Oryzias latipes: one gene and its partner. The protein of the gene in region 1 purifies or fractionates together with the protein of each later gene. This does not show direct contact. Links are inferred from orthologs where the notes say so. Each region holds a gene or a part of one and is shown on either strand. Other genes may lie near its edges. The genes, in order: bach2 and mafk.

What was found.
Region 2: the proteins of bach2 (region 1) and mafk purify together in Homo sapiens (co-immunoprecipitation; 3 studies listed by BioGRID and IntAct, with this or other methods). This does not show direct contact. The link is inferred for Oryzias latipes from reciprocal best matches to the Homo sapiens genes BACH2 and MAFK.

What each region holds. Positions count from the first base shown.
Region 1 is NC_019882.2:20,479,069-20,490,978, forward strand, and holds part of bach2 (transcription regulator protein BACH2), read right to left. Parts: intron 8,833-11,910; coding exon 8,578-8,832; intron 1-8,577. UniProt on the Homo sapiens protein: Transcriptional regulator that acts as a repressor or activator. Binds to Maf recognition elements (MARE). Plays an important role in coordinating transcription activation and repression by MAFK.
Region 2 is NC_019866.2:7,329,005-7,342,413, reverse strand, and holds the end of mafk (transcription factor MafK), read left to right. Parts: intron 1-4,684; coding exon 4,685-4,763; intron 4,764-4,840; coding exon 4,841-5,278; 3' UTR 5,279-7,800; downstream 7,801-13,409. Other genes in the region: tmem184a (transmembrane protein 184A), read right to left, coding at 9,375-9,607, 12,427-12,624, 12,694-12,863. UniProt on the Homo sapiens protein: Since they lack a putative transactivation domain, the small Mafs behave as transcriptional repressors when they dimerize among themselves.

The DNA of each region.
Region 1 (11,910 bases):
CCAAACTCCTCACTCCAGGATTCAAACCAGAGCCTTCTCACTGTGAGGCAAGACCACAGACCACTGCCACAGGCCACAGTGTAGCCCAACCAATGGGTCATGTGACCAAAAGCATCAGGTTGTGTCTAAATTCCCTCACTATTAGTGCTTTTGATAGGGCGTTTGCCGTTTTTTTCAGGTTGTCTGAAGGACATGGTGGATTCATAAATAGTCTTTATAAAATGTTCAGATTTATTAGGTTTTTACTTTGAGAAATGGGTGACATCATTTTTGCCGTTTAAAAAACAAAAAAGTCTGAATTATGTTAAAACCCAGGGCACCAGTCCTGGGTTTAAGGGATCAGGTTAAAATGAGGGGATTCCGACTCAGTCTTAGTATGACTATGGATGGGGCATGGTAGTAAGGGACCCAATAAGGGATAGACAAGCTGTCCGCGCACTTGACCCAAGATCCATTGGTTGATACTACGACCATCTGAAGCTGGTTCTTTAGCACTGCAATCTTAAAGGTTCTATATCATGCAAAATCCACTTTTTTGAGCTTTTAAGTATATTATAATGTTCATTAAAAAAACAAAAAACAACCCCAAAGCAGTCTTCTGATCCATTGATGCATTTTTGAGTTTTCCTCTAAAAACTGTCTCTTTCAACAGCAGCCCCCCCCCCCCCCCCAATCCATGAAAACGAGCGGGTTCTCACATTGTGATGTCACAAAGCAAAGAACAGCCCCTTCCAGGAAGAGTCTGTGCTGCCAGCACCGCCTCCAGCTAACACACACACACTCACACACAAACACTTTTCCCTATATGTGCACAATATGCACACACACATCTTTGTAAAAGTTCGGATGTTGTTTGTTTTTGTGGGTGAAACGCAGAAACGCTGTAGAGGTTGACTCTATGATGATGTCATGAAATGGGCGGTACCCACACAGAGCAAAAGCAAAAGAACTGTAAAACACAATAGAAAAATAAATGATGCATTAGTACAATATATAAGGTAAAAATGAAAGGAGAACATGAAGAAAGTGTATTTGTCAGTGACAGCTAAAACTTACACGCTCCTGGTGCTGAGTTTAAGGTAAGGAAAGCTCCCTCCTGACAGTGGATTAAATCAGATAGTGTGCGTCTAATCCTTTGCTAGTGCAGCTTACAGCACAGGCCAGACACTGGGGAGGACATGACTCCATCTTTACATTGCTACAGACGCTGATACATGTTAGGAAATGAAGCAGAATTGATAGAGAATTCTGAGAATTTAGTTTAGTCCTAAAAGCTTGCAGACTAGTTCTTCAAAGAAATGTAAAACTGTAGGGATGAAGATGCTCCCGCTGCCCTGAACCTGAACCTTTGTCTTCAGGTTGGAGGCAAATATCAGCTTTGTCAGATATAGAAGAGGTTTCATGCTTGCTGAGACGTCCTGCTGGTTGGACAGGGGTGCCATCACTACTCCTACAGCAGCTCATAGCTCCTCTCAGTAAAGCATCATCTTGTATCAACCCACCCCCATCTTTGAGTCAAGCAAGCTCTGCTTGTTGTGAAGGTTTGGGCGACGATTTGGTTTAACCCTCTGAAGTCACATTCCAATCAAGCTTTGATCTATTGTCAATTTGTGTCTGATTTCGGCTCAAAACATGACTCAGCGACTCCTTGTTGACGTTGCAGCCTTGTTGGGACATGGTGGCCATCCACCAACCACCCACTAATCCATCCATCTGGACCATCCAGGGTTGCACGGCACTCAAGACTGTTTGAAAATGAATCTTCATTTTTGTCTGGGCCCACTGCAGCCGGTTCTGCTTGTGAGCGTTGTGTAGGGGTGGCTGAATAATAGGTTTAGGTATAACTGCAAGCTTCTGGAGGATCCTTCACCTTGACTCCAAAAACACCAACAGCTTCAAATATGTGCTTGCTGCTTTTTAATTTTATTTTATCAGCTGCTCTCTTAATCTAATGTGTTTGTCTGGCAGAAACCTTCCTTATGCTGTCTTTCTCTCTCCACCAACCAGTGTGTGCTCTGAATCAGCCACATCTCTCAATAGTACAATGACCACACCTACGTTTTTGGAAAATATCCGAAGGTTTTTATGCCTTGTCTAAGGCGTTTAACTGTTTCAGGCTTTTCAGCAGCAGAAATCCTTTTTCTTATCCCTATTACTTGAAAATGTTGGTCTGTTTAATAATGTGGAATATCCTTCTTTAGCTTTTTCTTTAATTGAACTCACCTGACAAACTAATTATCACAGGTGTCTGAGATTGATGTCAAAGATCCAAAGACCCCCGAGACACCAAAATTAAATTAAAAAGCAAACAATTTGATCTTTTTGACACTTACATTTAATTTGCATAACAATTTGTAAGTTACTGTCCTTCATTATGAGAAAAATGCTACAATAACTTTTTAAGAACACCAAAAACCCACCTTTTATACGAGTAAATTTGTAAACAAGAGAGAAAAGTTTGAAAATGTTTGTGTCAGCCTAAGAAACTATAATTAAAAAATAATAAGAAAGTGTGTACTGAGGGGTTCTACAGTCATAAACATCTTTAATCCTACTTCACGAATTTCATCTATCAGGTGTTATTTTTAGAACATAACCCCCCCATGATAAATGAAGGACAGCTGTAGGGGTCTGGTCTCAGTCAATTTCATAATTATGTGCAATACATAGCATGAGTCCACTCATATAACTGACATATGTCAAATCTTCAGTTGAAAAGTCTCTTGAAATGACTGGACCACAAAGATCTCATGTCTTCATTATTCAACAGGGTACCTACCACTGACTGTATATGAGAACTGGACTGAGTGAGTGTGACATCACTCAGAGAATATTAATTTTTTCATTTGGTTGGAATCATGTTTCATTTCATTCAGTGACCTTTTTTTTTTACAATAAAGACATATACACATCACCGTGTGATGTCTGTTTGTTAAGAAATCGTCAGCAAGCACTGATTGCTCTGAGACAACAGTTTTATGGCAACCACTGATGCCAATCAAAAGTAAGCTTGTTAGAAGGCCACACACCTACCACTTAAAAGCGTAGTCGGGTGAATGTGTCAATCCAATGTTTTGAACGTTCAATCTCATTGTAGAGTTACGCTAGCGGCACGTTTCCTAGATTTCGTGAAAAATTCCTTGGAATTTTTTTTTCATTTTCCTATGTTGTAAATTACGCGATTATTAAGAACATGTTAAAAATGTATCAGAGCAATGATTATTCTAACCAATAGAATGAGCCAGCAGGTACTTCCTGTCTGAAACGCCAGGGGGTTGCAATAACTCAGTCCAGTTCTCATATACAGTCAATCGGGCATGTCGCTGAAAGAGAAGATTTTGTCCATACGATGCAGCATAACTGCCTCTCTAGTCACATTAGCTAAAGATGATGTCACCCAGAGGCCCAAGCAACTCCAACAGAGGCTATGAAGGGGCTGATGCTGGGGAGGTGGTCTTTTGTCTCCCCCCCCCCCCCCCCCCCAGTGGCAACCTTGAGGAGTAGCAGTGCTCCAAAGCTGCAGCAGGAATACTTAAAAGCTTCCAGACAACTGACAGTCGGCCAAGTGCAGCTTAAGAACATGAATTGAAGATAAAGGTTGCAGCTCTGAGCTGACACAGAACCCCCCCCCCCCCCCCCCCCCCCCCTCCCCAGCACAGCGACAGAGCTCAGACCAGAGGCAGGGATGCGTCAGCAGACTCGAGTCAGTGACCGTAAAAAGATGGGTGACGGGGGATGTTAAGAAACTAGATGGAGCCGTGAGTAGAGAAACATTATGAGTCTTTGAGTGGATGCAGTCGCTGAGCAGCTAAACAGCCGGGAGGCTGGAGCCTGGATAGCAAATGAGAAGAAAAAACTAAAGATGAACAAAAAGACAAAAACTAGAAGAGACAACACACTAGTCTGAGTTGTATTTTGGATTCTATTATTTTGGATTATTTTGCTAAGCAACAGAAAAGAATCTGCACTAAGCCTGCAGATCCCACTGGTGCTGACATTTTTTCTTTTGTTTGCACAGAACAGAAGCCAGAGCTACCCAAGCACTTTTTCTGAAACCGTTTTTTCAGTCTATGAAAGATATCCTCCTTTTTTCCAAAAACACTTTTATAATTTTTTCTTCAGAAACTGTTGAATGTGAATATTTGTGGCCACATGTGTTGCTTTATTTTGAATGTCACACATCAGGACAGTTGAAGTGTGCCAAGATTTGGAATAAAAACAAAGCCCGATCGACCGCACTTATTCTTTGTTTGTAGTCAAACATGACACTGAAAGATGTAATGACCTTACAAGATAACTAAGGATGAACACACGGGGGTTGACCTGTACAGGGGCTGCAGGTTTTTCGGCTGTTCAGGTCCATGAAGGATCGTAGACAGGTGTGACTGTGTCTTAAAGGGAGCGCAGGTGTGTCTTGCAGTTCCCTTGTGGCTTAAGGGACGTCATCAAAATTCAATTGTCCTGTATGGTAAGTGTATCATGGGGTATTCAAAAGGATAATGTAAGTTTCACACACTTAGGACGTACAGGGGATGCTGTCTTACAGCGTCCCTACACCACATTCTAGTCGTTAGTAAGGCAGGGACTCTGGCTTCTAACTACCGGTAACCGTGCACAAAAGCTGCACACACACAGTGTGCAGGTGATACGCCTGTAGGACACACCTGGGTTGTCCACACAAACTACACTCTGTCTAACTTTTCTAACAGGCAGACTACAAGCATGAGGCGCACACTTATGACTTGATCAGCACTAACGGGCTCCAGTCAAGCACCTATGCCCCCATTAAGGACAACTCTGGGTTAAATAGAAAATACATTTAAGAGTCCAACAAATTTCTCTATGGTACAATTATTCTAGGCAATGAGGACAGTGTATGTTTTTTTTTCTCTTGTTAGGTGGGGCTTTTTCCATCATAATGAATGGGTGAAGGCTTCATTTTTTGCAAGCCATCTAGTGGTTAAACAGTGAAGTGCATGGGCTCTTCCTTTGGTTTCAAACCAGCCTCAAGGAGGAAGTGAAAGTGTTACCAACGTATGCTGTGCAATCCATGAAAATGGTTTGACAACTAATGTATAGAGTCTTCTGTGAGTAAGAAATGTAAATGTATTTGATACTTGGATATCAGTTGATTTCAAACCTCAGCAGAAGTGGCTGTTTGACACATGAAGGAGACAGCCATTCAAAGATGTTACTTTTCACACTCCGTCCCACACCTGAGACACACGGCAGCTCATGAATTATTCACGCTTGCAGCATCTGAATGCTGCAGAAACACCAACCAAGCACCCCCCCCCCACCCACCCCCGACCTTAACAGGAGCTACAACTGATATTGGATGATGACGCCGCCATGCTTTTTAATGAGACAACAAAGCTGTTGAGTTCCAACGTGAATGCAGGCCGGCCCCGATGAGGATCTCCACAGCACATGTGGGATGTGCCCCACTTTCTACCGCAGCACATATCTGCAGCATATGTGTTTGTGACATCAATATGTCAGGAGCCGTAATTACAGCCGTGTGACATGCATTTGCTGTGGCTCCTTTTGAAGCTGCAGCAGTTTAGGCTTCAAGAAAGCAGACGTAGAAAGCACAATCACACAAAAAACAAAAATGACAAAAAAAGTGTTTCCACTGAAGAACTTCTCCAGATGATCAGTGGCAGAGTGAGAGCGGATGTGAGCGCAGCTGAGAAGATCCAGAAGCCGTGTTAATCTCATCACTAAGTGATACGCTGCTGAATGTAGCGGCACCTGACAGGTGCTAATTGGTAACAACAGCATTAAAGGCTCAAGCTTTAACTTTGTCGCACCTTCTTTTGAATCCTGAATCAGCTCTGGACAAATCCAAACCTTCCTTCTACATCTGCTATTTTGATGGAAAGGAAATCACATTAAATGACTGAACTAAAAATAGAAAAAGCCTGAAGTTGTGGTTGCTCTTACACTTGGATACACTGAATGAACAGGGAGTGCTGGATTCAGGATTCAGTTCTGAGTTGTAGTTTGGATTTTATCACTTTCTTTCAGTCCTGACTGATGTATGGTGGCCCTGAAGTCCAAATCAAATCAACAAATTACACAACACAAACATCAATCAAAGATTACAAAGACAATTAAAAAAAGCAAAACAAATAATAATGAAACCTGAATGTATAAAAAAAACACTTCCAAAAACAAAAGTAATGTCTGGAAATTAAAATAAAAGGTTAAAAAATGTAACATAAAAAAGCAAAAAAGGTGTGAATTATGGGACGCCAATGGACGTCAGTGACAGGATGATGACATTGTTTCACCGTTTTGTGGTATGGAAATACTTTCTGATATTTCTTTAAGCAAAAGTTCTGTGATTTATCAATCAACTCCTTGCCGGAGTTTGAGAAAAACATCCTTCTGCTTTCCCTCTTCCAATCAATGACATCCCACAATATCTTCCTTTACTGGCTGCTTATTTTAAGTTTTTGTATTTGTGTTTTAGTTTCTGTAATTTTGTTGTAATAGTTTTGGCTTTTTAATTGTCGTTCTTGTCTTTAATCTGTTTTTGTGTGTAGTGATTTGTTGACGTGATTTGCACCTCAGGACCACAGTACTCACTACTTTGAGATGTAGAACAAAAACCTGAATAAAAATATGAACCAGCCTCCCTGCAGCAACAGTAAGAAGTAAAAAAAATAGTTTTCAAAACCAACTGAAAGATTAAACCCAAGGAGTCAAACAGAAACCAAAAACTAGTAGAAATAAAACAAAGTGACAGGATCAGGCAGAACAAAGTCTGACAACTATCTTAATCAAACACTGACATGAAAAAAAGCATGATTCGGTCCTGAATCTAGTTGGGGCATAAGGAGCTGCACAAATGAACAATGAAGTCAAACAGAAGCTGAGAAAAGGTCAAACAGTGGAGCAAACAAAAACCAGTAAGATTCAATCAGAGGTTCAACTTGTTCCCAGTCAAACCAAACAAAAAGAAAAGAGAAAATTCTCAAAGAAAACCCGTCGTTTCTGCATGTGGCTTAAACACAGAAGACAGATGTATAAAATTATGAGTCTTTTTGTGTCTAAATGATTTATATTTGTCATAAGAGTATTCTGACAACAAAAAGGACCGACAAAGCAGCCCAATTCAAAGAAAACCTTGTAAATTCCTTGCAAACTGCAGAAAACTAAAGACCACTTTAAGGACTGTGAGTTCTGAAAGGGAAGTTCCTGATTTATGGGACTGGACTTTCAGAGCAGTCTCTTATCTCAGGAGGAGCAGCTGCAAAACTGTCAGAGCAAAATGAAGCAGCTCGAGCTCAGATTCAAGAGGATTTTTGGAGTGCGGTCAGCGCCTCTTTTTCATCCAAAGAGTCCAAAGGGAGGAGAGGAAAAGAGTGTTTTTGCTGAACTGGACACAGAGGAAACGGCCAGCCAACAGTAAGTGAATGAAGACATGGGAGGTTTTCCAGTGTTTGGCCCTTTTCAACCAAAGCTACAGTTTACAGAAACATTTCTTTAGATTTTAGTCATAATTTTTTACGACACACCTACATAATGTCATAATTTGATCTATGTATATATATTTACAGGAAGAAACACATTTCCCATGAAAATGATTTAATTTAAATGTAAGAAAATAAAACTGTTGTTTCTTTTCCAAGCTTTCCTCTCATTTTTTTGAGACCATCAGATATTAAGGCTTGAAATAAACAAACAAACAAAGACCAACTTAGATTTAAAGAAAATTAGCCGAAAGTATTTTTTTGAGCTTATCTGTATAATATTATTGCACATGCTGCTGCTTCCTCCAGCTAATTCCAGAAGAACATTTACTGCGGGGTTAAGAAAAAATTCACAACAGCTGGCGGCGTGACCTCTGACCTTTCAGGTGACTCAAAATATAACCCGAAAACAAAGAAGGCAATTTTTGTGGCTGAAGGAAGAAGGGCGGGGAAAATAAAATGTCAGTACTATTTTTAGCAAAAAGTACTACACTTGAAGTTGATTTTATTAAGTATACTTGAGTATCATCAAGTATGCTACAGACTTTGTGTAGGTAGTGTAGGAAGTATACTAACTGAATACTTCTTCAGACTAAATTGTAACATTTTTAAGTTGACAATATATAGATAATTTACTAAAGTAAACTTGAAGTATACTGTGTCAGCTTTAAGATCGACTACGGTTTCACTTAAATAGACTACTTTTTGCTAAAGGGAACTAGCTGTCCTGTGAGTCTGGGGGGTAAGAAGAGTGAATCAAACAAATCCCACTCTCAGAATTCTGTTGATCCAACATGAAAACTTAGCGTTGCTAAGCTACATGCATATATTTGTCCGTGAACGGCATCATGCTCATGGTTAAGCCGTGGAAAGTCTTTCCCCTGGTATACAACAACATTGGGAAAAGGTATTTTTGTACTATTAGTTCATCAGACTGATATGAAATATTTGTGTAGTTGACTGCTAGGGAGGCTGTCACTTTCCAATTTTTTTTCTAAATTGTGGGAAAGATGGAAGGTCTCAGCTTCTCCTGCGATGGCTTGGGGGGAGTTTTAGAGTTATATCAAGCTTGTGGGGGTGTGTCTGACAGGCCTACCTCTTCAGGAAGGCTAACGACCAAACCATTTTCCGCCTGGCCCACCAGCGCCTGGAGGAAGTACTCGCTGCAGGCAGCCAGCACGGCCCGGTGCCCTCGGAACTCCTTGCCCTCCACCACTACGGTCACATCGCACAGGATATCCTGCTTCCGCTGGTCGTTGAGGCAAAGGAGGATATTGGTACAATGAACCGTCGACTCATACACGTACATGGGGGCTTCAGGCTTCTCATCCACGGACATACCGCTCACACCCTAGAAATAGAAACATAACAGAGGAGAGGAGGGGGGTCAGCTTTCAACCGAGCCAAGCGAGCGCATACCGCGGGGCTGACATCAGCGCCATGATTCAACACATACAAGCCTGCTGCTCCACAGGCTTACTCACTCTAAAAGCCAGAGAAGGGCTGAGTTTTTGGAGACAAAATTACAAACATGTTCCCCACGTGTTCAGTAAAGCAGTTTTTTTGCAAACCAACTGCGTATTCGACCTCACACAGTCGTATTTTTACACAGTATGATGGAAAAAAATACAAGACATAAAGTGGTTCATAAACTGTAGATGACTTAAGTAAATATATTAGACTCTTCCTGCAAAATAACATTGACTAGTGACCACAGAGATTTTTCTTTGCTGTCACAACATTACAGTATAAAATTCACACAACCACAAAAATCCCATCAAGCAAAGACAGGCAGCTTTCGGGGGCAACAAACCCAAATCCAGAGGGATTCAGCCAAACGACCCTTACTCAGGTAAAACGAGGATCTGTTACATATGACCAGAAGAGGGCACTGTGGGCAAACACGTCTTAAAAAACCCGTTGTTAGCTACATTAGCCTACAGGTTGAGAGTGCTGCAGAGACAATCTGAACTTTGAGGTTTTATCGATGTCGTAATTTAGGTTTCGAGTTAAACTTTAGGTTCCACAAACTTGATCTGTCTGAAGGAATTTGTGAATTCTGCTGCTGCGGCGCATCAAAGCCTACTGGAACCTAATAATAATAATAATAATAATAATAATTAATAATAACAATTGAAACTTTACTTATCCCACAATGGGGAAATTCTTCTCCGCATGTTGGCCCATCCCCTGGGTGGGGGCTGGCTGGTTGTTGGACAACCTGCTCTACCGACTGAGCTAAACTGCCCCCCCCCCAAGAGTGCCCACCCCCCGCAGAGAAACCTTTTGTTACACTGACAACCAGATGTAATTAGCTACAGGTTTTTCCTGTAAATTCTCAAGCGTCCAACATCAGAGGCTGTTGTGGATCTGCGGCGCAGCACGAGTACGTCACTCTCTGGAGGTTTGCACCTGCAGGATGTCGTCTGACTACTCAGGTACAGGCCAATTCCTCACTCCTGGACCTGGTTTTGATACTGATCCCAATCATATGAGTTGTTTTTTCCTGAGCTGAAGAACACTGAACACGACGGGACTCCTCGCCTCATTCTGACCTGCTGCTGCAAATTACATTTTCCCAGGAAAGTCCCTGTCACAGTTTTCCTTTATTTTTCTTGGAGCAAGTTATCAGACGATCCTAAAGGTCAAATATGATTACACTGAGAAATGTCCTCATTCTATGGAAATGCTTCTAATTAAAGTACCTATACTATAATGGTAATAATGCTAGCACACAGTAGAGTGGCTGCAAAAACTGACACTGAAAATATGAATTTGGTTTTGATTTGGTTCAAATAAAAGGAAAAAGCAAAAGTTCTACATTAACTGTGAGTAGAATGTAGGAACATTACTGCCTTTCATTCCCAGAATTCCCAGCGGATCAGAATGTTAAAGCGGCATGAGGCTGCACAATTAGAGTTCATTGTAGCTTTGGCAACACTCACATTATGTTTGTTTCATTTTATTCCGGTTGTTGCCTCACGGTCAAGTTTTCACCATTTGGCCAGGAAATGACCTGCTGAGGAACACGAGGTAAAAACCCTTCGCATGGTTCTCAAATAAGCTTCTGCACTCTTATGTGAAATATGTGACATAAACAGTTCTCCAGGCTATTTCGGTGTCCCACATCTTTTTTTTTTTTTTACTGATAATCCTCAGTGAGTGGACTGCTGGGAGGGTGGGGGCTTCATGTGACCCTGCATCCACTGCTCCTGCGTGGGAGCTGCCGTGGAGCACCAGTCCAGACTATGGTTCTAGCTGGTCCAGCTGCTGCAGACTTCTTCCCACCGAGCTTTTCTCAGTTGGTTTCCCAGGATAATGACCTGCCTTCCAAGAATAATGTTTCCAGATGCGTGGCTCAGAGCACATTAAACATGCTATTTCTCCACTGGAATGCACAACGCACTGAAACTTGCTTGAGCACAGAAGATGACACAAACGCACTTTTAACACACACGTCCTGACACACCACAACAGCAGCAGGTTGTGGCTGAAAGCTGGTTCAAATTGCTGATGGATGCAGCTCCTTCAGCTTCACCGACACTTTTTATGATGAGTTACATACATTCGTGCGCAATTCACTGGATGAACTTGACCATGCAAAAAATCTGTGTCTTCAACTCTGATCCTGACTACAAAACCAAGTCAAACCTGGGAAGACCAGCTCAAGCCTGGAGTCTTCAGGTCTTAGACGGATGAGACCATTTTTCAAGGCTCTGGTCACAAATCCAGTTCACCAGGTCAAATGAAGTGAGTTTGTTTCCTCAGGTGTTCTGCGTTTCTAGGCAGGTGTGAAAGTTCAGCTGAACTTGGGTGCGGATCAAATCCCAGGGGGCATCGTCTTATGCTACATTCACACTAGGCTTGGAAATGTGTATTTGTCTATATGACCCCTTGTATACACATGCTTCGGGTTTTCGCGTTCAAAACTCTCGTGTTCACACTACTCAAATCCATTTCCAGGGTTTAAGTACATAACGTGCTGCAATTGATCAAAAAATCATAGCCAGTTGAACTTTGACCGATCAAAGACTCGGGTTTAGTAGTGAGGTATGGGTAGCACTCTTTTCAAAACACTGAAGTACCAACAACTTGCATCTTTAAACTCTAAACTCCATCAAAGCATGGAAGAGAACCAAAGTGAGTATACAAGGAAAGCCCTGTGCGGTCTGAGTACAGTGTTCGTACACTGTATTGCTGTTCACCAGGCACATACACACACAGGGCCCTATGGGTACTTGAGCACCTGCCCTTTTGGCCTCGTATTAAAAAGACCATTCTTTTTTTTTTGTAAATAACATGCCGCTTCTGTCTTTGCGGCAGACGCCAGATGGTTCATATTTCAGAAAAATGCTCCATATAAGTCATTTTCCTTTTGCCAGACGTCTGAACACGGCACATTAATTCAACACAGAGCAGATCATGCAGG
Region 2 (13,409 bases), on another chromosome or scaffold:
TATTCAGTTTACTTCATCCAACCTCCAGTGTGGACTGGGGCGGCTTGGAGTAAAGTGTGAGGCTGCCAGTATGAGTATTAGCATCTCCAAGGTGGATGTTGTGGTTCTCAGTTGCAAAAAGGTGGTTTGTCTTCCGTGGATAAGCAGGTAAAGGTGTCCGTGTGGAGGAGTTTGAGTATCTTGGTTACAAATGAGAGAAGGATGGAGTGTGAGATTGACAGGCAGAGAGGTGCAGCATTTGTTCAATGTGGTCGCTGTATCGATCTGTTGTACTGGATTAGGAACCGAGTCTAAATTCCTACTTTCACTCGTGGTCATAAGCTTTCGGTCATGACAAAAGGAAAAGATACGAGCGGACAAAATGAGTTGCCTCCGCAGGGGGGCTGGGCTCTCCCTTAGATGGATTAAGAGGAGGTTGGAGGAGACCTGCTGCTCCTCCACATCAAGAGGAGCCAGCTGATGAGGGCTCGGGCATCTCTTTCAGGTTGTCTCTCATGGTAGGTTTCACGGGCGTGTCCCATCCAGGACATGCGGGAGGACTTTGTTTCTCGGCTAGCTTGAGGATCCCTTGGGGTTCCCTCAACAAAAATTGAGGAAATTTGTAAAGTCTGGACATCTCTGCTTAGGCTGCAACCCAACTCTGAATAGGCAAAAAGGTGAATCTATTGTCATGTTTTGTAAACATGTTACAAAAATACAAAAAAATTTAAAAAAATATTTTCAGTTGAGACAACTTTGTCAGGGATTTACAATAACTCTGATGTTTTCTCGATTGTAAGTTTTTCATAGAAACTGTTTATTTTTTTTAAATCATATATCGTCTCCCGTTTTGCTCTGAAGCTTGCACTGACGATTCACTTGTAAAAGTCATCCGATATTTACCTTAAACAAGTGAAACGGCAATTGTAAACTTTGTGCTTTGGACTGTTGAACTTGCCTTCTGAGTAACACGCACTGAAATCCCAGGTCGCTCTCGATTTGTTGAGGCAGGCAGAGGATGCGAGACGCTAGTGAATTCTAGACATTTTGTAAATTTTGCAAGCAGTGTTTTACAAGTAGGGGGGTGTAGCCCCCCCCCCCCCCCCCTCCATTGCTGTGTAGGACATATTTCGAAAAGCACGCTCCCCCTCTCTTTTTGCATGCGTGTGTGAGGGCTTGCACATGTGCGCTCACTCAGGAATGTGCTTTTGTTCTTTACCCGCCATCTGTGGCTTTTCTTTGAGGTATTTTCCCAGACTCCTTTTCTTACTGTCAAAAAAAAAAAGAAGAAAAAAAACTCTGATCTGAGCTGTTTTCTTGACTCTGTAGCAGAACAGCAGTCATGGAGCTGCTTTTCTTTTGAGAAACTTTCATTTCTCGATCATAAAAGTCTTGTGCTTGCACAGGTTAGGATCAAACATGGGCACATGCCTGAAGAATTACAGGGAAACAACCAGACCTCTTGAATCTGGCTTGAGGCCCTCTGCATGAAGAAGGGAGGCCCCATCCCATATTTTCTTGATCATCTCAGAAAATATAAGAGGAGACTCTTGGTGTCAGTTTTTTGTTTTCTACTTTTTGATATAATTCTTTTTCCCTTTAAATGACACTGAGGAGTTTCCATGTTACAGCGAAACAAGGTTTACCTTCTCCTAATTTAGCTTTGCTTCTATTTATAGCCAAAAACCTGAAAGTATGACAAACATCACACAGCAGAGAGCCATACCAGGACAGCTTTCTTCCATCAAAGCTGCTGGAAGCAGCCCTACAGAGAATGTCTGCCCTCATACTGAGCTATCACTTATCGCGTACTCGCCTGAATTGTTTAGTTGGCAGAATTTTGAGTCAACACTGTGAGCTAAATATATCCAGCAGTTAGTAGAGTTAAATAAGGGCATGCAGCAGCTCAGGAAAGCCCACTGTAAGAAGATCTGAGCATAGAGGGGCAGCCCTGAACCGACGGACTACATTGTCTCACTGCAGAAAATACTTCACTGACGATAAAGGAAAGTATTTGTGTGACACTCCATCTCCTGGAATTTTCCACAGGTGGAAGGGCGGCCCTGTTCAGTTCTCCTGGTGTTTTGCGGGAGTCAGAAGCATCAGATCAAGACAGTCAAATTTCAGTTTCTATGTAACGACTTAAAGCCGTCAGCTCATTTTATTATTTTTTCATTTTTTCCATTATGCATGTGGCCATGTTGCGGTCATAAATGAGACTTGTTTACTCTTTGAGTGACCATGTGACTCATGCTCCCACGCCCATTTTGCAGGGCGTTGCCATGGTAGCTGTGGAGCATGGAAGAGTGCAGTTGCAGTCAGGCTGGTCTGCAGGTCCTCAAATTGAGCCCTGGAGGGATGTTCGCCTCTCCCAAAGGATCACAGCTCAGCACTCTCACTTTTTTTTTGGTCAACTTGGGAGGCATGTCCCTCACTGTAATGAAGGCTGAGAGGAATTAAAAAAAAATGCCCAGGAAGGAATTTAAACACAGTTACACAAGGAGCTAGATAGAAGTTGCCTGTTTGTAATTTTGCTTGGTCTGTTGCACTTGACTGGCAAGAACTTCCTCCCTCTGGTGGGTAAACAAAAGCTCTCCTTGGAGGGGCATTGTGATGGTGCCATGCTGCCATCTGCTGGCAGTTGGGATCAGCCAACTCTGGAAGGCTCATTTATGATGTTTTAGTATTTTACTGCCATGCTTTTTAAGCATTTGACTCAAATTCTTTAGTGGTACAACATCTCCTCAGGTACCAAAATGTTTGTGCAAAGCTGCCATTTTTGGAAATGCAGTTGCTAGGTTTAATTGATGCAACACTATATTAGATTTTAGATAGATTTTAATCAACTTTGAGACAAAGATTACATCTGATTGTTTTATCACTTAATAATAGTAGTAATTTTATTTTTTATAATTTAAAATGTTTTATTATAGTTTTCAAATGTATAACAAAAATGGTTGACTAAAACAAAGTACCTGTACTCCAAATTAAAATGATTAAATAGAAACATGCATTAAAATAATATTTCTTATTCAAAGACACAATCAAATCTTTTTTGTAAGTTTTGTACAAAAAGGCTCATAAAATCAGTTTTTTCCTGTTAGTAGTACAACTATTCAAATCATCCATTTAAAATTGATTTCAGATTATTTTTGTTAATTTATTAAGTTGGTATTTAGTAGTTTTTATCAGTTTTTACAAGTGAACCACGATTCTGTGGAAAGAGACAAACCTAATTGTTCAAATCCTTCTTTTTCCAGTTGGTTAATTTGGACAAAATATGACCCAATCACCAAACACCCAACTAGAAAATATATCAACTTCTTTTTTGCAATTTAGAATAATGCAAACTGCTTGATTTAAAAAAAAAAAATGAATGAAGCCCCCACTTTTTAGTTATTTTTGGTTGAAAGATGAGAATGAGCTAAAATCTCAACATGTAACTTTGTATTACTTTACATCCTTTTATATAAAGTTTTATTCTAGCCCCAAATTCCTTCATGTAGCTGTCATCAAAACTCAAACCCCTGTAAATAGTTTCTCCAGCTTCTCATTGTGCATTTTACATGACGCACACCAGCACCTTTGTTTGGATGAAAGTGTGCACATGTGGTTAAGCAGGTGTCCTGCTCGCTGCCTTGGGAAGTGTTCAGTGTTGTTGATAATTATCCTCTGTGTGCTTTTCAGGCTTCTCTTCATCAAAGATGGGCTGAGCTTTGTTTTTTGTCAGCTACACTGATGTGAGGGAATGCATTAGTAAAAAAAAAAAAAAAAACTCCTCAAATATCCACAAAGGGAACAGGATGCGAGCTTGACAAGCTGTTCCACCGTTAATGGAAGTTCCAGCACTTATGTTGATTCTGATGCTGCAACTTTTCAGATATACAAGTATCAAACTTAAAACAGCAAGGCCTTAATTGGTGTATTTTTTAAAGTAAAGGATTTCAAAAGGGGATTCATTAAGTTTTTAGTCCCAGGCCCAAAAAAATCTCTGTATTTTGTACTTTTTGGCCTGGATCTCCAATATGTTATTTACTTTAATCAAAAGATTAGATCAAATTGTGGAACTGATGCAAGAAAACGGATCCACCAAAAAGAAATCAGACACATTTTTGGAAGATATACTTCTTTTTTGGAGAAAAAAAATGGAAGTAAACAGAAAAGTATTTTAAAATACCGTATGCAGCCAAGTAAAAAAAAAATTCTTCTTGCCAAAGGCGTATAATTACCTAGCTCGACAAAAATGGTTGGACCAGTTGATCTAAAAACAGCCAACTGTCAAAGTGAGATCAGAGCAAAATAAAAAAAAATCTATATAATGGAAACTGAACCTGTCATTTAGCAGCAGTTTTTAGAAAATGCATCAGCAAGTTCCAGAATAACCAGAAAAGAAACATGCCATTAGTATCATGTCACATATGTGGAGGCGATGTGGCCGCTTGGGTTCACTGATTGAGAAAAACGAAGATTGTGTTTTTCACAAGTTAAGCCACTAGCTCCAAAGCTTGTTTAAGTATCTCTTGTTTTAAAATCCAGATGGATGTAAATTCTTTAATCCAGCTCTTAATTTGAAAATAAAAGTAGAAAATTATCTGCAGTAATGTTACATCACCATTACATTTAAGGCTTTTATTGACTGCAACCAGATTTTTAAACCTCAACATCATACTAGGATTCCATTCAATAACTTCTTTTTACTTTTCAGTGCATCTTCTGCGAGGTTCTGGTCAGCTTTCTGCATGCAGGGAATGACGACTCATTTTAAGACGAGCAAAGCTTTAAAGGTGAGAGTGACACATGGCAGGCTGATCACACCACATGCGACTGGCTTTCATCCATTTCCCTTTTGACCTTTTGGCAGGTGAAAAAGGAGGCGGGCGAGAATGCCCCCGTGCTCAGCGACGATGAGCTGGTGGCCATGTCTGTGCGCGAGCTCAACCAGCATCTGCGTGGGCTGACGAAGGAGGACGTTGTGCGGTTGAAGCAGCGGCGGCGGACCCTCAAGAACCGTGGCTACGCCGCCAGCTGTCGCATCAAACGCGTCACCCAGAAGGAGGAACTGGAGAGGCAGAAGATAGAGCTCCAGCAGGAGGTGGAAAAGCTGGCCCGCGAGAATGCCAGCATGAGGCTGGAGCTGGACGCGCTGCGGGCCAAGTACGAGGCCCTGCAGTGTTTCGCCAGAACTGTGACCCGGGGGCCAATGTCACCGGGGAAGGTGGCCACCACCAGCGTCATCACCATCGTCAAGTCCACCAACCACAACAACGCCAGTCCAACCCCATTCTACGCTCCGTCCTAGTCACAAGATCGGGCTCCTGCTGCCTCTGCCTGGATCTTCTGGGTTCTGACTTGAACCCACTCAGCTAGTTCTGAGAAGAGGCCTGGTAGTTTCCCCAAACTTGGGGTGGTGGGTGGAGCTTTGTCTGACATTATGCTGCAAACAGTTCACCTTCTCAAATAAGATCTGTGCATTATCACGCCCCTTCAATTCCCCGGCACTGGCAGGATATGGAGCCTCGCTGACCCAATCTCCGTGACTTTTACTTCAGTGTGAAGGGTCCAACAAGCCTTACGGGGCAGCGCCTGGCCCAGAACCTAGACCCCAAAGCAGAATGTGTAATCAAGAACTCACCAAATTACATTTATGTATGAATTAAGCCTTATAAGATGCTGTCTTGAATAGATCTGCAATTTGTCTACACTTTAAGTGCATCTTAATACAGTTTAATGTCTAGTTTCGAGGCATCTGTTTGTCACAGAGGCCAGAACAGTGTGGTTCAGCTGGATTTGTTGCCTTATCGACTCGCGTTGGTGCCTCCGATGCTGCATTTGGAAAGAAAAAGTTCTTGGCAAATGGTTTTAGTCTTTAGGAAAGCCTCAGAATGACAGAGCTCTATGCTGCTGATGCTCTAATCTAATCCAAATGAACCACTGAGTGTGAAAAGCTTCAAAGGATTTCACTTCTCAATTTTGGGATTTTGCGCCTCATTTTCTTTGAACCTGCAGAATGAACAGCGTTAGCTGGAAATCAGTTCATCAACTGTTGCATTTAATGCTTTTGAACATAATTGCAAGGGGGGTCCATGTAAAACAGGAGAGTGGCTCTGCAGCTCCTCCCAAATCTTTTTGGAGTTTGTGGTTAGTAGCACTTAGAACTGTAAAGTTACAGTATAAAGTCATATGGAGGTGGTTGATTCTGATGATAAGTTGTGGTCTGACCCTTAACTGTAGGTCGAGTTGAATGTAATTCTGGATGGTCAACTGACACGTATGTTGCAGCACTTACTTGGAGAGGTGTGGCGGGTCATCCATATTGGATGTGGTGATACGAAGAGCAGTCTTTTTGAGCGTGTTCCGGTTCAACGTACTTCCTGTATATTACAGATTTAAAAATGACGACGCTTCTCCCTTGGCTTCCCTTTTTCTGTTGCTCAACTCCGTCCAAACAGAGATCATTCCGTCTGCCGGGTCACGGGAAGCGCCGCTGTCGCCGGGGTTGGGAATTCACCACCCGCTTGCTTTTGACTCACTCTTCTACAAGAGAACTCCTGACACTTATCTCTAGAAAACGAGGTGTCACAAAAAACAAAACAAAAAAACAAACAATCGCAGTAACTGACTTGTAATATTTAAGTGTGATACAAACTTGAAATCAAGCTGTTCTTCCAAACGATCCATTCCCAATTTGGAGCGAAGTAAACAGAGATTGTTCATGTCGGGATCTTCTCTTGGTTAGGAGGACATGACTGTTCTTTCATTGTTCCTCTGCTGTAAAGAACAGTTTGGGGAACTTTGCTGCTGTACAACCTGCTGTGATTTTGTTTTTTCTCGTTAGCAGGGGGGCATTGCTGTGTTTTTACTCCTATTTTTTTTCCCCTTTTAATTTTCACCTGGTTTTTGTTACTATTTCTGATAGTTTTATACAGTATGCATACACAGTATATGAAATATATATATATATATATATAAATGTATATGACATATTTTTCTATATTTAAGTCTTGTACTATCCATGGAGTGGTGTGATTATGTAATCAGCCTGTTTTGTTTCAACTTTTCAAGGAAAAAAAAAGATTCTCACAACATTGGTTCCCTGCAAGTATTGAAATGGTATTTGGTATATTTTGACAAGAGCATTTAAAATGGATTTCAGCTGCAAACGGCCTCCATTGTGCTTCTAATGTAAACCTAGTTCATTATCTTGTGAAAGTGTACCTGAAAAACTTTTTTTGACAGTGTCAAAGATGACGGTAATGCTTCAGCACTTGTTACCTGAAAAAATGTTTCAACGCAGCTCCACATGCCCTCCTAATGTGAAGGTCTGTTTTTAATCCTGAGGAAAATGACATCTATTTATGGGTTCATTTAAGTGTTTTTCTTTTCTTTCTGGGCAACTTGACAGCCTTTTCAAAGCGTAACCGTGACCTCTTGTGGTTAACATCGAAATAGCAACAATGTAGAATGAGTGTAAGCACTTAGCTGGATAAAATGCTTACCGGTAAATGTTAAACGATTCTGCTGTGCCAAATTAAAGACAAACCTTTCTCTGGGTGATTTTGGTTAAGTGCCACCAAACATGTTGTCTTTTACGCCGACTTTTTGAATCGTATAAAAACAGGAATAACACATGAACATTTTCTGTTTACTAAACTGCAGACGACTTTTTTTAATCTTTACAGATAATAAAGCTTTTATATGCGAGGAGCTTAAGTGGACTTTCTTTAATTTGATCAGAAACCACAGAAATACTAATAAACATGAAGAAATGCTCCCTGGCATATTGTGAAGTTTATAAAGTTTTTGTTCCCAAAAAAAAATAAAGTTTACACTCAATAAGCTTTGAAAGTCCAGCAAGCTATGAAACCACAGAGTTTCAATATTGCAGAAAGGATTGTGTTAGACGTGAAGAGGCAAATTCAATGCAACCTTAATAGATGTGATAGAAATCTACGATCAGTGTAACATGCAGGTGGCCTTCGAAGAGCAGAAAAGAAGAGCATGTACCCTTTTACGCCTTCACATAACTCTTCTTCTCATTTCTATTTTGTATTTATTTAATGGAATTGTTTAATTTTATGAAGAAAAAAAAAACTAAATTATTTTTTTTGCATTCATTTACTTCCATGTTTTCTCAATGAAATATCTTCATGTACAAATTGTTTTTGCTCTCATTTAAAAGTACGGTAAATTATTACTGTCGACGGTTGTGTCTTTTTTTTTTCTACGCTCAAATAAAGCTCCTTTATGTTCCTCCCAAAAATGCTCCGTTTTCTCACACTTGCAGACACAAATCTGAGTTTTATTTTGCATAGAAACCAACCAATACGCATTCTGTCAAAACACAGCTAAAATTGGCAAAAGAGGGTAGAAAAATTTAACCACAGACATGAACTTCCTCTTTAAAAGGGTTGATTGACTTATCAATACACACTTCAAATTTAGTGCCTCTGGAGCTAAAGAAATAAATACAACAAGATTGAAACACTCGATAAGCCAAAATATTATTTACAGGAGTAAAACGGCACGACTGGCACTAATCAAATTTTGCACTCCCTTGATCAGTGTTGACATGTGGTTGACAGCATCAGCAGCTGCAGTCAAAACAGTGCAAAAGCTGTCAAATTCTAATCACTAGCATCTTTCCAACAGCCATTTCAACTGCATCGGGTCAGGCTGTTCAACATGCTGGGAAAATTCATATTCAAGCTTCCGCTCTGGATGAGAAAGGTTTATCCAATTTGTCCTTGCAGCGGCAGAAACAAATGATAGTGGAGTATCTCTTGCAGTTTGAATTACCTGCTCCAAATCTAATATCTGTCTGTCAGGAATCCGTGCAGAGAAGAGCTCAGTTAATACCAGACAAAAGGAATGGCGAGAAACGTTCCAGTCGTCGCTGGCTTCCCTGCATCTATCTTGGTGTTGCATATTAATCAGAGGCTCTTTGAAGCCGACGTGATTCAGTGGGAACACGCCGGACGGCCACTGAGAGGCAGCGCCATCGAGACGGTGGCAGGACCGGAAAGAAGGATGCAGCTGTGCATCCGACAGCTTGATTTAAAGGAAACGCCAAAGCTCCAGACCGGTTTGATGAAGTGAAGGGGACATGTCATTTTCCTGATTATCACTGCAAGACGGGCACGGATCAGATCTCTGACGATCCAGTCATCGTTTCTGAATCTGTTAAAACTCCATCCTTCTCTTGGTTCTTAAATTACCTTTGAAGCAGGACAGAACCGGGCAGTCCACCTTAAATACTCGGATGATGAAAATTAAACACCTGGGTTCAATCCAGCTCTGTGAGATATGTGCCACAGCCGTTTCCTCAGATTGGGGATGGGGGGGTCAAAGATAAGAGCGGGAAGGGCACAGACACTTGGATGTTGTTGGAAAATCGCCTAGAGCTCATCATCAGATGTAATCAGCATGATTTTGTCGGACTTGCAGGAGCCCTTCAGGTCTGTGGGGACTTTCCCGTTCACGCCGTGCTGCTGGGTGACGTCCTGCGTGGATTGCTGGGTGTACTGCTGATAGGCTGGTGAGAAGTTGTGGATGGCATCCTGAACCATGTCTCCGGGGTTGATGGTCTCCTTCAGGCCGCTGGAGATGCTTTGCATCGGGGGGCCGCCCTCTGCAGGAACGAGAGGGAAAGAGGCACTTTGATGGCTGCACACAGATGCGCTGCACGGATGTTTCAGCTTTAATCCCAGAACAAAAGACATCCGGTTGAGCATCAGAATGCAAATAAAGAAAAAGGAGCATGAAGGTGATAAATGCCCGGTTTCAAAGCTCATTTCAGTGCAGAATCATCTGAGTGAAAAAAGAGCCATTTGCTTTTTTTTGCTCTGGGAGCTTGCCAGTTTCATGACATGATGACAGACAAAATAACTTTTGCAAAGTTTTGTCAAAGTATAATAGCTGAATTCATTGGTGAGTTTTTTTAATAAGCTAAAAGCAGGTCAGCTCAGGGGATTTTAACAAGTCAATCATCTTTTGACCCATTTTAAAAGCATTCCCAGTGGTCTTATAATTATAATTAGACAATTTTTAGCCAAAATAATAAAATAAAAATAAAAAGTTATTTTACTAGCACATAGTTTGTTCCCACAATAAGTTGTGGGAAGGACCGCCAGCATTTCTGATATCCCTCTGTTCATGTGCTCTCCTGATGAGTCAGAATGGAGCGGAGCAGAGAACTTGTTGCTCGCCCAGCGTAGTTTTAAGTCACAAATGAGCTCTTTTTCTAAACACATTTTTCTTGATTCGCAACAGTTTGACTGAAGAAATACTCAGCAATGCTATTTCGATCTTAAATCTTTTACTACATCATCAGATGACACAAAAGCCTGTTAAAAATGAAAAAAAAAAAACAACTCTCATCAAAGTTGGACTTAAAACTAAATACAAATTTTCCCTTTTCACTCATATAAAAAAAGGAAATTTAAATTTCCAGCATTTTCATTTGATTACTCTGTATTACATAAGCTAAAAGTTTATTTCACCTCCTATCCCATCTACATTTTCTTTGCAAGCAGCAAGGTTGCCAAAGCTGGGACACATCCTTGGTGCTTTTTTTTTTAGGACACCATGACCTTGAATCCTTTTCTTTCCTTCTCCTCCAAACGTTAAAAGCACCTGCTGCCTGGGCCTTTCATATCATGCATGTCCTTCAGCTTTGGCTATGTTTTGCACATTGTAGCTCTTATGAAGTCATTTCAACAGAAACTGTAGAAATGTGGGCATTTCTTATGTCAGCTAAAGTAGCAGAACAAAAGAACAAAAAGGCAAGTTATAACCCTTTATGGGATTTCTGAAAAATTCCTAGCAAACTAAGGAAATGAGGTTAAAGGCTTCTATTACACTTAAAGTCTTATGATGCCTCTAAGAAACCTGCACAACTGGTTTATTTGAAACATTAGTTTAGCAGGAGGCGAGCTGCTTCCCTCAAGAGGAGGAAGGGATTTTGGTTAGAAAAGAAACTTTCCTCTCACTATAGATAAAAAAAAAGCTTTTCTTACACAGCGTCTTTATAACATTTGCCAAATCATTTGAGATCTGCTTTTTTTTTTTAAATGCCCTATTCTCCTTTGTGATCTCTGCTTCTATCCAATAATTTCACACTCTTTCTTTCTGAGGTAAACCAAATGTTGGAGTTTTAAGTCTCAATCTGTCTGACCCTCCACCAGCTGGTTCTTGTCCGGTACTTTTAGCTGAGGGCCCATCCAGCCCACTCCATTCTGGTTTTCTTTTTTGAAAAATATCTCCAAACTTCCTGCTAAAATCCCTCTTTATCTGGGAAGATCTCAGTTTTATTGCAATGCCAGCTTATTCAGAGATCAAAGAAAAGCAATAAGTAACAATAAAATAATTTGATATTTTAAAACTATTTAAATATTTCGATTCTGAGATTTTTGCAGGGTTTTTTTTTCACTTCATGCTAATTACGTTAAAAAACAAAAACATTTCTAAGGTTTTAGCTTTGGATTATAATATATTAAGCATTAGCTGTTTTGCAAAAACATCTTTGTAGGTCAAGTTGAAAAACAGACTCCAGCAGGTCCATCGTCTGCCCTGAGGCCTCGGTTTAGTGGGACATGTTCAGGACATTTCTGCTGGAGGGCTTCTGGAAGGCATCCTGACCAGATGGCCAAACCACCTCAAATGGCTCCTTTCAAAAATGGCGGAGCTCTTGGGTACCCTATCCCAACAGGTGAGCACTGGAGCGCTCTAGAGGAATCTCGCCATTGTACTCACAGCCTCATTCTTTCAGGAGCTGCTTGTAACTTAACTAACCACAGGCGAGGGTTTGTGTGTAAACAGATCGGTTGACCAACAGCTTTCATCTCAGCTTCTCTTCGCTGCAACAGAGCAGTAGCTCCACCCATGTGAGGCTGTAACTATCACGCTGTCATCCACCACCTTTTGGGTTCCAAGACCCAAGAGCAGCAGAAAAGAGATTTTTCATCTCTGCTCATTTAATGCAGATTAAAAAAAAGTAGTTTATTTAAAGGTTTCATATGGAAAATTTCTAACAATTTTGTATTTAAAATATTGCATTTTATTCTATTGAGATAATAAAAAAAGTTAAAGACCTCCTCCTATTAAAATTGTGTTTTTGGTGTTTTAAACATGCTCTTGTGGGATTTTTCTGATGATGGAGGACATGTATAAAGGCAATTAAGCTTAAAATTGCATTTTTTTTAGTATTTATTTATTCAAATTGTGAGTCAGGAGCAGGCACAAAAATGTTGGAAAAAGCTTGTAGGTGTGACATAGAAGCTCCTACGGCAAGCCACAAGCTCCCAGCTCCGGCAGGTTTTTGAATTTTGGCTAAAAAAACGTCATAATCATAATTAAAAGACCACAGGGAAAGCTTTGGATTGAAAAATGATCGGAGTGAGATTTTAATTTGAATTTCTTGGCACTTCAACCTCAAAAGTCTGTGCTCACCTGGCACATCGTTCTTCTTCTCCTGGTAGACGGTGCAGGTGAAGGCATATTTGAGGGCGATGGCTGCAAAGAACATTTCTATGCAGATGATGAAGTTCTGCCAGCCCGCGGCCACAGTGCCGGCGCCCACCTCATGCCCGTCGATGAACAGCGCATTGGGAATGACGCTGCAGCGCTCCAGGATGGCAAGGACCATTCCTAATGAAAACATTTTTACTTTCTATTGTGTTTGAAAAAAAGGAAAAATGAGGGGGAACGACGACTCACCTTGCCAGAAGGATAAGAAAATGACTGATTTGATGGTGAGGAATTTAAGCACCGGTTCATACGGTCTCAGTAGGTCGCTTGTGGCGAAAAAGAAGAGGAAGAGAGCGTAGAGGGCCAGACTGACCGAGAAGTTGTAGATGATAGTGATGTACAGGTACCCTCCATTTACACTGTGAAAGAAAAATGCTTAAAAAATCATTTCAACATTTTTGCATTCGTGAGAGGCTCTCCAAGGATTCAACTGTGACGACATTAATTACTCCGGTGCAGACAGAGTGCACGGATGGCTGAAAGCCTCTAAGTAAACAATCGGTGGAGCTTCAAATAATGCAGTTCTTCCCTGATTTATCATTTAGCTGTTGAAGTACATGCAGAAGCAAGTGCAAGAATCGAGCCAAGATTATCTTTCAGCTTTTAATAAAAGGCTGATGATAAAAAGCGGCTTGAAAACTTTTATTTTAAGAAATCTGCTTGATCTAAGTAGCTTTGAAGCTTGTGTTGTCACAGCTGACTCTTCAGACAGAGACGGTGAGGAGACGTACCCCAAAAATAAGTCAAGCGGAGTCACAAGCCTTAGCTTTCCAGAACTTTGATTACACGCTAATTATCATTTTAGTGAGCGCATTACTCTTTTCGTTATGCAGCCGGGTCCCTTTGTGGTTCAGCAGGAGTTGCCAACCACACTTGCATCAAAATTGTCAGTCTGCAATTTATCC